Linked DNA regions of Arabidopsis thaliana. The protein of the gene in region 1 interacts with the protein of each later gene in a pairwise test. Each region holds a gene or a part of one and is shown on either strand. Other genes may lie near its edges.

What was found.
Region 2: the proteins of HDG4 (region 1) and AT3G11590 interact in a two-hybrid assay, tested with the Arabidopsis thaliana proteins (one large-scale study listed by BioGRID).

Annotation. Positions count from the first base shown.
Region 1 is NC_003075.7:9,855,726-9,861,138, forward strand, and holds HDG4 (homeodomain GLABROUS 4), read right to left. Parts: upstream 3,564-5,413; coding exon 3,414-3,563; intron 3,331-3,413; coding exon 3,167-3,330; intron 3,060-3,166; coding exon 2,942-3,059; intron 2,795-2,941; coding exon 2,642-2,794; intron 2,566-2,641; coding exon 2,206-2,565; intron 2,120-2,205; coding exon 2,021-2,119; intron 1,934-2,020; coding exon 1,549-1,933; intron 1,461-1,548; coding exon 1,225-1,460; intron 1,151-1,224; coding exon 1,055-1,150; intron 971-1,054; coding exon 602-970; 3' UTR 530-601; downstream 1-529. Other genes in the region: AT4G17713 (Putative membrane lipoprotein), read right to left, coding at 4,070-4,320, 4,435-4,483. UniProt on the Arabidopsis thaliana protein: Probable transcription factor.
Region 2 is NC_003074.8:3,658,499-3,664,239, reverse strand, and holds AT3G11590 (golgin family A protein), read right to left. Parts: upstream 3,943-5,741; 5' UTR 3,743-3,942; intron 3,644-3,742; 5' UTR 3,613-3,643; coding exon 3,130-3,612; intron 3,077-3,129; exon of another isoform or gene 2,455-3,076; coding exon 2,332-2,454; intron 1,966-2,331; coding exon 703-1,965; 3' UTR 506-702; downstream 1-505. Other genes in the region: AT3G11591 (bric-a-brac protein), read left to right, coding at 269-460.

The DNA.
Region 1 (5,413 bases):
TCCCAGAGCCAATACTATAAAGAAACTTTTCTAAAAAGTGGTTTAGGCGATAACTAGGCATCAACGTCCAAAAGCACCACGGCCGTCGTCGCTCGTACGGTTCGAGTCCTACTCTAATTACTAATTACGAAGCTTCTCATAAGATCAGATCCATCTGGAAATGTGGATCACATAATGTATTATGTATGCTCGACAAAGTTTAATTGGTTGTTTGCATTGTTAAGTGGATTGTTTGGTTTCTGAGCAATTAATTTGTGAGGTGGTTTTCCTAGTTGTACATTATTTTACAAGGATTCAATACGAATAATAAACCATAAGTAGATTTTCGTAATTAGCATTAAACTAGCTTTGTTTTGAACAAAACCATAATATAAAACGTTTTCGTTTAACCAAGTTGGAAGTCAATACCCGAACCAATCAAGCAGTTGGTAAACCGGATAAACCCCGGTTCAACAAATCATGCCTTGGTGCGTTCTTGACTCCCCAAAAGATTTAGTGGTAAATTCCAGTTTTTACCCTTTGTATCGGATCGAATTTACCTCAACAAATAATAAGTTTTTTTAGCTGCGATTATTTACCAAAATACCCTCCAAATCTTCTCTTAATTACCGACGTCGTTGACGAGCGCGGAAGTGATACGGTTGACAGTGGCGCAAATACGGTGATTGATGACGGAGACGGTGGAAAGATCGAGTCTTTCGGTGGTGACGTTGCTCCCCAAGACCTGTATTGCAACAGTGAGCAAGCACGAAGGCGAACTGACGGAACTGCCCTCGACACCATCGGATGGATTCACTGGAACAACAGAGAATCCAACGGGCAAAAGTGGTATTTCAGAAGGATCTTCGCCGTTCATGGCGAGCTGAACAGCGACGGGGTCGACGGTAGAGTACACCAGGAGACTCCCGGAGTTATCGGTGCATGTTTCTTGAAGCATCAACTCTACATTATGCGATGAATTGCTCTCCACCTGTAATTCAAAAACCAAACTTTTTAAGTTTTAAAATCAAAATTCGATTTTTTTTTTTGTTGGGATTTTGAATCAATCACTAACATTGATCCGAAGAAGAGAGATGCTATTTCCAAGATGTGAGCCATTAGCGATATGAGCAACTTCTTGAAATGAACTACCCATGAACAAGATCTCCAGCTGCAGAGAATCGATTTTCAGAATCTTTGGATCAAAAGAACAGAGGAAGAAGATTCTGGTTTTACTTTCTTTACCTGAGAGAGACGTTGATTGTCGCGGAGAAGATCAAAGACTTGTTGATGAGAATAAGGGAGAAGCGTGACTGACACGGCACAAGGAACAAGACCACCGCAAACTTTCCTGCTTACGATTTTAACTGTGTCCTTTGTTGGTGCTTGTCCGTGTGAATTGATTATGTTCAGACAGAAAGTTTTCACCATTCTCTGTGACAGCTTCATCAAGTTCTTCCTCGCTTCTACAGAAGGTATCACTGAAGGAAAAAACACGAGAAAACGGATAACTAATCACATTGGTTGTGGAAGTTTGAGGTTTACTTGTGAAACAAGTTATATATATACCTCCAAGGTCAGTGATGTTTGTAGCCATGAGACTAGCCATCCTTTCACATTGTCTCTTCAACACAGATAGCCACCGTTCAGCGCCAAAGGCCACACCGCTCTCCACAAACTCTCTAACAACCTCGTCCTGCACGTGCTTCTCTTCTACTTCTACGTGCTCTACCCATGTGACCTGAGAGTATCCGTTACGCATTGCTTGAATGATGCAACCAGAAGGTTTTCTCCGGTATTGATCAGTAGTAGTAGCTGATGCTGGTTTGATCCTATCGATCGGGAAATCTACAACCATCCATTTTCCTTCTTCAGCATTTTGCTCCACATACCGAAGAAAATAAGCTTCTCTTGTTGGTACCAATGGAGACACTACTTGTAACTCTGCAAACATCTTTTTTGAAAAGAGAGACAAGATTCAGTGACCTTAAAACCAATTAATGTGAACACTCTATCTATTGTAAAATTGCAAATTACTTACCAGAAGAAGAGTACCACTTGGTCCAGAAGCTCCAGAAGAAATGATCTGAGCCGTTTTGGCGCTTGAGACTATGGGGAAGAACATTTCCGACCATTTATCCTTGAAGCAAAGGTTAAACATATTTATGGTTCAATGTGAGTTTTTAAACAATGAATATAAGGAATGTGTTTTTGACTTATTCTTACAGCATCAAGGAATGCTTTGACGAGGGTTATGCAGTTCAACATGATGACTGCATTAGCTCTTGAAGCTTCTCTGCGAAAACGATCATCATCATTCATTAGAGGCCATAAGAACATCTTCTTATACTCTTCCTCATTCAGACACACACTCTCATTGTCTAGTCTCTTCTTATTCCACAAGGGCTCATTTATGTCACACATCTTTGCTAATTCTCGAGCACAAGAAACTGCAAGTTCCATATCAATCGCCTTTTCTTCTTCCGCAATCAACATATTATCGTTGTTGTTCTTATTAGTCTCCGGGGTAATCTCTTGTGAAGGAGAAGGATTCCTCATGGAAACAATGCTGCGTAAACGATCAAGCTGCAACATATGATAACCATATGATTCAGTAGATAAACAACAACAGCCAAGATTTGATTCATTCGAATATACATACCTCTTGGCGGAGGCGAGCGTTTTCGAGGCGGAGATTGTGGCCACAAGTAGAGCAAAAAAGGCATTGAAAATTGGACTGAATATTTTGACTCTCTGTCTTTAGAGTCTCATTCTCTGCTTTTAGCTTTGCATTATCGCTTCTACTTTGTTGTGCCTGTTAATCTCAGTATTAGCAACAACAAAAGCTTAATTTCTTAACATGAATGGTCTTAGCCAGAGTTTCTAACCCCAATTTTAAACCGGTTTATATGGTCTAACTAACCTTGTTAAAATCAAACCAAACTAAAGAGTGATTAGTTACCTTGATTTGGGTACGTTTGTTTTGAAACCAAAACTTGACTTGTATCGGCGAGAGACCAAGTTTTTTACTTAATCTCAATCTTGTTTTGGTATCCGGATGAGCATTTTCCTTAAACAATCTACAATAAAAGGGCAAAATTTCATATTTTAAACATCATTTCATAAATCATCGTTATAATTTTTTTGACATAATAAACTTGTAAACTAAAAGGGCAAGAAGACGTACGCTTCCATTTGTTGAATCTGACTAGCAGTATGTCTATGGTAACGTTTCTTCTTCGCCGCAGGAGGCTCTTGTTCGATTGCAGTATTCTCCACTGGGTCATGACCCGACCCGGTTGACTTACCCGACCCGCTTTCGATCTTGCTCATCACCTCATACTCTTCTTTCTAAACCCACAAAAACAATAAAGTTATTAATTTTTTAAGAAAAATATGTAAAAAAGTTAGGGTTTTTGGAGACGAAGACAAACCGGAAAAATGTAAGGGAAATTAGGGTTCTCGAAGGAGGTAAAGTAATTAGGGTTTTGGATTGTTGTTGTCGGAGACGAAGACACCGAACCGAAAACGTTGTCGGAATTTAAAACCATATGTCCTTTTTCTTTCTTGTCTTTCGTTTCCATTTTAAATCAGACAAAGAGAAGACTGAGTTTAAAGGGTTCGTTTTCACTTTACTCTCAAAATTCTTTTTACTTTACCTTACCTTGTTGTTTTGGCTTCGGATAAGCTAGAGAAGATAAAAAAGGTAAGAAAGAGATATATGCACTCAAAAATAGTTACCGGGCCAGGAAGTGTAAACGGCGTCCGTCCATGTTTAACGGCGATAATTAACGGACTAACAGATGGACAAAAAGCTTGTCCAACACTCTACTTTTTTTTTCCTCGAAGGAAGCAGAGAGTCCAATCAAATCTTTGCTCAGTATTACAATCTTGGACCCAAAAGCCCACAATAACAAAAACGCCAATCTATACTTGTAACTCGTAAATAATTAATATTTTGTAAGATATATTATTATTGTTTTAATTTCTTTTATTAAAGACATATTTTATAGTTATGATAAAACAATATATGTTGAAATTTGCCGCAGTAAAAGAAGTTAAAGATACTATGATTATGATAACTTTGTTATTACATTGGAGGTTTGCGACAATAACAATGGTACGTAAAACAAACATAAATTACTTCGCCTATTGCTTTGCAATGGTCAATGCAAGATTGAACATTACACCTCGGTGACCTCGTGTTAAGCGATATCGCACGGATGTATCTTTCATCAAGGCATTGACACTTGTTCTGCTCACACTTGATATTCTTCGTTGCACATTTTAGATTAGTACAATCAGAGTCATTGTTGCAAGATTGTGCCAGAATTTGTGTGCCTATGAGATTAAATATGTTATTGATCATGAATTCATGATGATATATAATATAGATGAGGAAGAAGAAGATGGCGATGAATGTAACTAAACATATTATCCAAAAAAATTACGTACATGTTGAGAAAAGTAGAAGACCGATAAATATCAAAGCTGCTTTCTCCATTTTTATTGAATAAGTTTGTATCTTTCTCTTGTGTTTTGAGTTGTTTGTGTGACTAAAACTGGAGGATTTGGAGAGTATTTATAATTTGGTTTTCTTCCCCAGCAAGCAATTGTTTTGCTAATTTACTGGTTAATGTTTTGGTAAATACGTTACTTACTTCATGTAATAAGATTTTATACCAAATTTGTTTCAGAATGAGTGAAAAATTACCTAGTTTGATGTTTCTAATCAAGGTAGTAAATTGGAAATTCATTATTTTTCTTTTTGCCAGCGATAACATTTGATCTTCTATATTTACATTTTGAGAGTGCATTTATTTAATCGATTCGTTACTCAAATATTCGTTACTCAAATAGTTACCAAAAATCTCGGTAAACAATTTTATAATATCTTGATAATTAAATCATTGACGAAGAACTTTGAAGTACAGTAAAACCTCTATAAATTAATAAAGTTGGGACTACAAAATTTTATTAATTTAGAGAGGTATTAATTTATAGATAATAGAGAAATTTTCCTAATTTGGTAATGTTTTAAAAATTTCTATAAGATTTCTTTCATTATAGAAAATATATTTATAGAACCATTTACAAGTAAAACATAATAATAATGTCTAAAAAACAACATCAAAAGTTTTGATACAGTAAAATATGAAAACTATAATCAAACAAAGAATAAATATGAATTTAAGCAAAAAAAATATTATAAATATATTTTAGAGAATTTTTTTTACATATAATATATATATATATATATATATATATATAGTTGATACATTTATACAATTATTAATTTATGATATTGATGGGACCATATATTTACATAGATTTCAAAAAAATTATTATCTTATTAATTTATCGATTTTTGTCACTTTTTATACTGGTCTCAACTCAGAACCGGAAGAATTTATTAATTTATAGAGGTTATTAA
Region 2 (5,741 bases), on another chromosome or scaffold:
TGATTGGGCTCTTTTCAAATTTTGTATGGATCTAAATTCGAAAATAATCCATTAAACCATTGTTTATAATATTAAATAACCAATAACAAAAAAAAAAAAAGTTCTCGCCTTCTCGGTTTAATCTTCATTCCTTTTTTTTAATACTCTTTTTTTTTAATTTGTTGAGAAATTGGAGATTAAAAATAAAGCCCAAAATAAAATAAAAAACCCCGGCCCATTAACAGTTAGTATTAAACAGCTTTTGCAACAGACGGCGGTAAACGATAAGATGGTGTTTTTTATGTCGTATCCGCCGACACGGCGGCAGTTAGTAGTGTCGGTGGGTTTTTTCGCGGCGGGCGTTTCTCTCTTCGTCGCCGGAGCGTATCTCTCACTCGCCAACATCTCACCGCAACAAGCTCGCGTCAAAGCTCGTAATGATTTCGTCAAGGATCGAATCAGGAAATGGCTCGACGATTAGTGTCTTTTTTTCGATCTTGTAGGCGTTCTAACTCTTAAATGATATAAATCAAAAGACGATTTCGTGTAAATTCATGCTCTTACATGTTTGGATCATTACCAGTTCAAATTCATGTTTTATGTCACTTACAGATGAGAGAATCACTCTTGACAAAACGAGCGAACAGAGAAAAAATGTAGATGTAAAGTCTTTAGATTCTGTTATCTCTGCGCTGAAAATGTGAATAAAATTTCTTGATCATATTACCATCTTGATTTTCTGGCATTCTGGTTCTCGCCTTTCGAAGCATCCGATAACCGCGACTTTGAAACAGATCCACCGCGGAAGTTACTTAGTCTCGAACCCGAGAGGATATGGTGATCTTTTGAAGAAGCCTTGTTTGGTTTATAAGCTTGTGTTTCATCTATATACCCTTTAGGCTCAACGTCAATAGATCTTCCCCAATCCAACCCTCCATCTCCACTTTTTTGAAGCTTCTCGCTCTGTACAACCCAATCAACACAATCCGATATGCTTCTTTGTAAAGAAAGGCTTTTCCTTGGCGTTGATTTTCTTCCTCTGTTCTCTTCACCATAAGGCCATTTATAGCTCTTGTTGTCTATGTTCAGTTCTATGGAATGAAGGTCGCTTTCGCCTGAACCTTCTTCATTTCCATTCTCGACTTCTCCATCTTCGATGTTATATGATCCAAAACTGATGTGATGGTTTAAATAATCTCCAGCCTCTTCGTTATGTAGCTGAGTTTGAGGTGGTTCACGGGTCTTCTCTTTACATCTTTTTGCTTTGAGGTAAGTTTGAAGCTGGTTTCTTAGCTTATCAACAGCTGCGTTTTTCTCCTCGAGCTGGTGTTTAGCCTCCGATAGTTTCATCTGTACTCTCTCTTCCCGCAATGCATCTGCTAACTGCAACATCTCTCTTTCCTTTTCGACTTCTTCTTTGACTTTAAAAGATTCTCTCTTCAGTTCTTCAACTTCGGCTTTGTCTTCGCTTATGTCTCTTGCTAGTTCATCACAAACTTTCTCAACCATCACTCTCGCTCGCTTCTCGTTCTCGATTTCTTTAACTGCTTTCATCAGAGCTGATTTTGTTTCAGCCAATTCTTTGCCCAATTTCTTGTTCAAGCTCTCAAACCGTCTCCTCAGCTTCCTCTCCACTTCTAGCTCACCAGCAACAGATTCGATTGCAGCCTCAACAACTTCTTGCTCGTTGCTTTTCCACACAGCTTTCTCTTCGGCAAAACGCTTCATCAAGTAGCTAATGTCGTTGTTTTCCGGTTTATGTTCGTGGATTAACTGATTGACCTGTAAGCGAGCTCTTTCGAGCTCAGAATGTAAAGCAGAGACGAGGGACATGCTAGAAGATGGGCGGTCGTCTTGACCCCACATTCTGTTAATGATTTTGAGAAGCTCTTTTGATGTTGTGAGAGCGTTACTACAATCCTTCAACCGTGTTTTGACACCCACAGTTGACCCAGTCGGTGTCTCCACCCGTGATCGAGTCTCAATCTGCATTGGAAAAACACATTTCAAATATTTTTGAACATCACTCTCTTGCACACATATTGATTTATAGATGATGGAGGCAAATTAACTAATCATAACGGATTGAGTGTCTCCTAGTTTCTTATACCGTTATTTGCAATGTTTCTGTGCATAACAAAACAAACCATAGATTATGTGTACGTATGCTTCCAAAGTAAAAAAACCAACAGCCTCTGGAGCCAATAATGCTCAATAATATACTACTTTCATCCTTAATCAAATACCAAATTTGGTTTGAGAAAATTATGAAAACTGCTAGAAGAAAGGGTTCCTCATAATGCTCAAAGAAACATCCCCAAGAGTGAAAAAAAAATAAAAAAATCAACTTACATCCATGAAGCTGCCACTGTTAATAGGATCCCTAGCCCCCACATTGCAGTCTCCAAGCCTAAGCTTTTGCACAGTTGATGAAGCTCTTCTCTGGCGACTCCCAGTCCCTGATCTTTCCATCCTCTACAAAAATCAACAAGTTTCTCAGCTATCCAATTACCTAACACACAGAAGTAAAGAAAGCAGAATTCTTCGCATTGTCCATTGCCAGATTTAGCATTATATATAATTTTTCTTAGGTCTCCATTATAAGAGAATCTAGGCCTACATTATTCACAATAAATCAACCTCTAAAAAACAACCAGCTACCTCCATATGACCAACGAATGAGAAAGAATAAAAACTAGTAGAAGTGCCCAATTATGCAAGAATAATAGGCACCAACTTATAAAGAAACGCCCTTTCATATAAACATAAATGTGCGTTATAGAGCACATGACAAAAGATTCTTAAGATCAAAACAGTTTTCTATTCTTCTCTAATCCCACTCCTTAACATCAACCAGAAGCTTATACGAATAATAATCTCCCTTGATGATTAAAATACTCATAGAGGTTGCCAAAAAAATCACAACTTTGACTAAATTCAGACCTTAGAATCACACAAAGATTATCAATTTTATCAGTTAAAGATGAGATCTTTATAACTTCCCCGAATCAATCAATACTATACTATATATATTATTGTTTTTCTCTCTCTCTTTTGATCGGTCAGAATTAAAGCACATGGCAGCCAGCAAGAAGTTGGAATTACAGCACATTCTCTTCCTCTCAACCAATCATAACCAAAGCATTTTACCTCAGAGACTGGACTATGCGACGGATCAGAAAGATGAGGCGGTAGAGAACCAGAATGAACCGATGATCTCGGCGGAGGAAGCGGCGCGATTCTCTCCTTTCTACTCTTTCTAATCATTGGCGCAGCCTCCTCCACAACTCTAGGTGAAGGCATCTCGTTCATCTCCCAAAGCGTCGCAGCTAACTTCCTAGCTGAAACAGGAGCAGGAGCTGATACTTTACCGGTTTTGCTCCCGCAGTGAGACGACGGAGAAGCAGCAGCGTGTAAAGCACCGGAAGCTCGTGGAGAAGGAGATCGACCCATAAGTCTCCATGTAGGTACAGGAGTAGTGGATCCTCCTCTTTTACCAACAACTATCGCTCTTTTGAATCTATAACCTTCACGGAGAATCGAAGAAGTCGACGATGTCGGCGAAGAACAACCACGTTTCCTGATTTTGCCAAGTAGAAGTAGATTCTCTACGCTTTGATTCTGCCTCGGCATATTCAAAACAATTGTAGATCTTTCTCTTTACCTGGAAAAACAAAAAGCAGATTCAGAAAATTTCACCGATCTGTTAGAAAAAAGCACAAAGACCAAAATTGAAGTTTTTAGAGTGAGTAAGAACACTTACAGAAACTTCAAAGCATTTCTATGGCTTCTTCTTCTACTTCAGAAGATAAAGTTGGAATGGGAATTGGGGGAATTTGGAAAGAAATGGCGGTTGCTGTGTTTTGAGGTTTTTTGATCAGACTAGTGTACAGAGTGTTATGTTAAAGTGAAAAGGGGAAAGATGACAGGAGTACTCATCTTCTGTGATAAGGAACACTGTAACATGTCCACGTGGTTTGATCTGTATGGATTATGGATGTTGCTCCGTGATTTACAGGGTGGATGATTTGTAAACCGACTTAAACCGAAATAATTGAATCGAAAACCGGAAATCACTTCCTTTTTATCGGTCCTGAAATAAGAGATTCTCAATTAGAAAAACAAACTAATCAACAAATTTCTTTAGTGAAGAACAAACTTATATAAATAGTATTTAGCAGTAAACATTATTTATATTTGGTTAGTATATGGTAAGAATTCGAATGAAATAGATCCTAAGTTCAATTTCACATGTTAAACCAAAAATTATGTAGATGTCATGAATTTATATCCATATTTCACAAAGTTTGACGGCTCATTGAGAACAATTATTTTCGATTAGAAGAAAGTCCATCTGCCTAAATAAAGGGAACTAGTGCATCTAATTTTATATTTGACCAAAAATATTATGCTCGTCTATGATATACTATGGGTTAATTTGGAGATTGGATCGTGTTTGTACTATATAGGGTTTCTTAAATGACGTGTTTGAGTAGGATGCATTAGATTTTAATCATTTGATACACAATTACATGAATCGATAAAAGACCAAATAATCTAAGGTTGTTCTTTTTACCAAACCAAGATTTTTAGGTTATAAGAAAATAGTTCCTTTAGTAGATTCCTAATGTGGACCAAAATATCTTGTTAATCTCATGCTTATGACTCCTAAATCATATGATCATGTTCCTATATGAGGTATATAATATACCATTTTTCTCCATTAGACGAGTGTGAGTGAGAACCGGTGTGCTTAAGTTACTCATTACAAAATGTGTCTACTACTATTCCAAGTATATAGATATTCATTTCAATAGGTTTTGAAGTTTTATCTATACCCACAATTTCACAAATCACAACCCGTTATAATTATAAATGAATATTGATATTACAGATTTACACTCGTGTAATTGAAAAATGGATGACCGAAGTATTCATGTGAAACCATGAATATTAAAATGCATGTATTATTTTTTTTATAGCAGGATGATCAGATATGATTTCCTAGTTTTCAAGATATTGCATCCATAAAATTCACAAGTTAATTATTTGATCAAACTAAACAATTGAAACTGTAAACGTTACAAAGAAAGATAACACGGCCACACTTTTTTCCGTTGTCAAATGGACACGTCCAAGTGGAGGAGATGATTCAACATACACAATCGTACCGTATTATTGTTCAACTCTTTATTGTTGTAAACGTTTTTTGTTTGGGTCAAGTCTCTTTATTGTTGTAAACACGATTCTTTCTATAGTACTTTCTGTCACATAAGTTTTTTTTTTTTTTTATGGTGAATCCGGAAACAAAATCTGTTCGAAAAGACAATTCAACCTAGAAATAGTTGGATCTACATCATATCAAAATATATAGGTAGCAATCAATATAAAACATTAAATATATGAACAATGTAAGACTATAGTGTTAGATACAATTGCGTACAAAAAGTTCAAAATATATATGAGTCAGGCCCAACTAAGATATGAATGCCCAATAAAGAACTAAGAAATTGGTTGCCAGAACTGTATTCCTATGGGAGTCTTCTTACTTCTGACTTCTAATTTCTAACAACAATTTAGTTTTTTTTTTCTCTTTTTTTTTTTTTTTTCTTTTGGCTGTCAAAGATCTAAGTTGTAATAGTTTTGTCATTTGATGAACTTTTCAATTGTAATAGCTGACTCAAAAATTTACCCAATCACCATCAGTATACCTTATGGTATGAATGCATGAATCTATGGTCTACCAACCATCAATCTTTCAC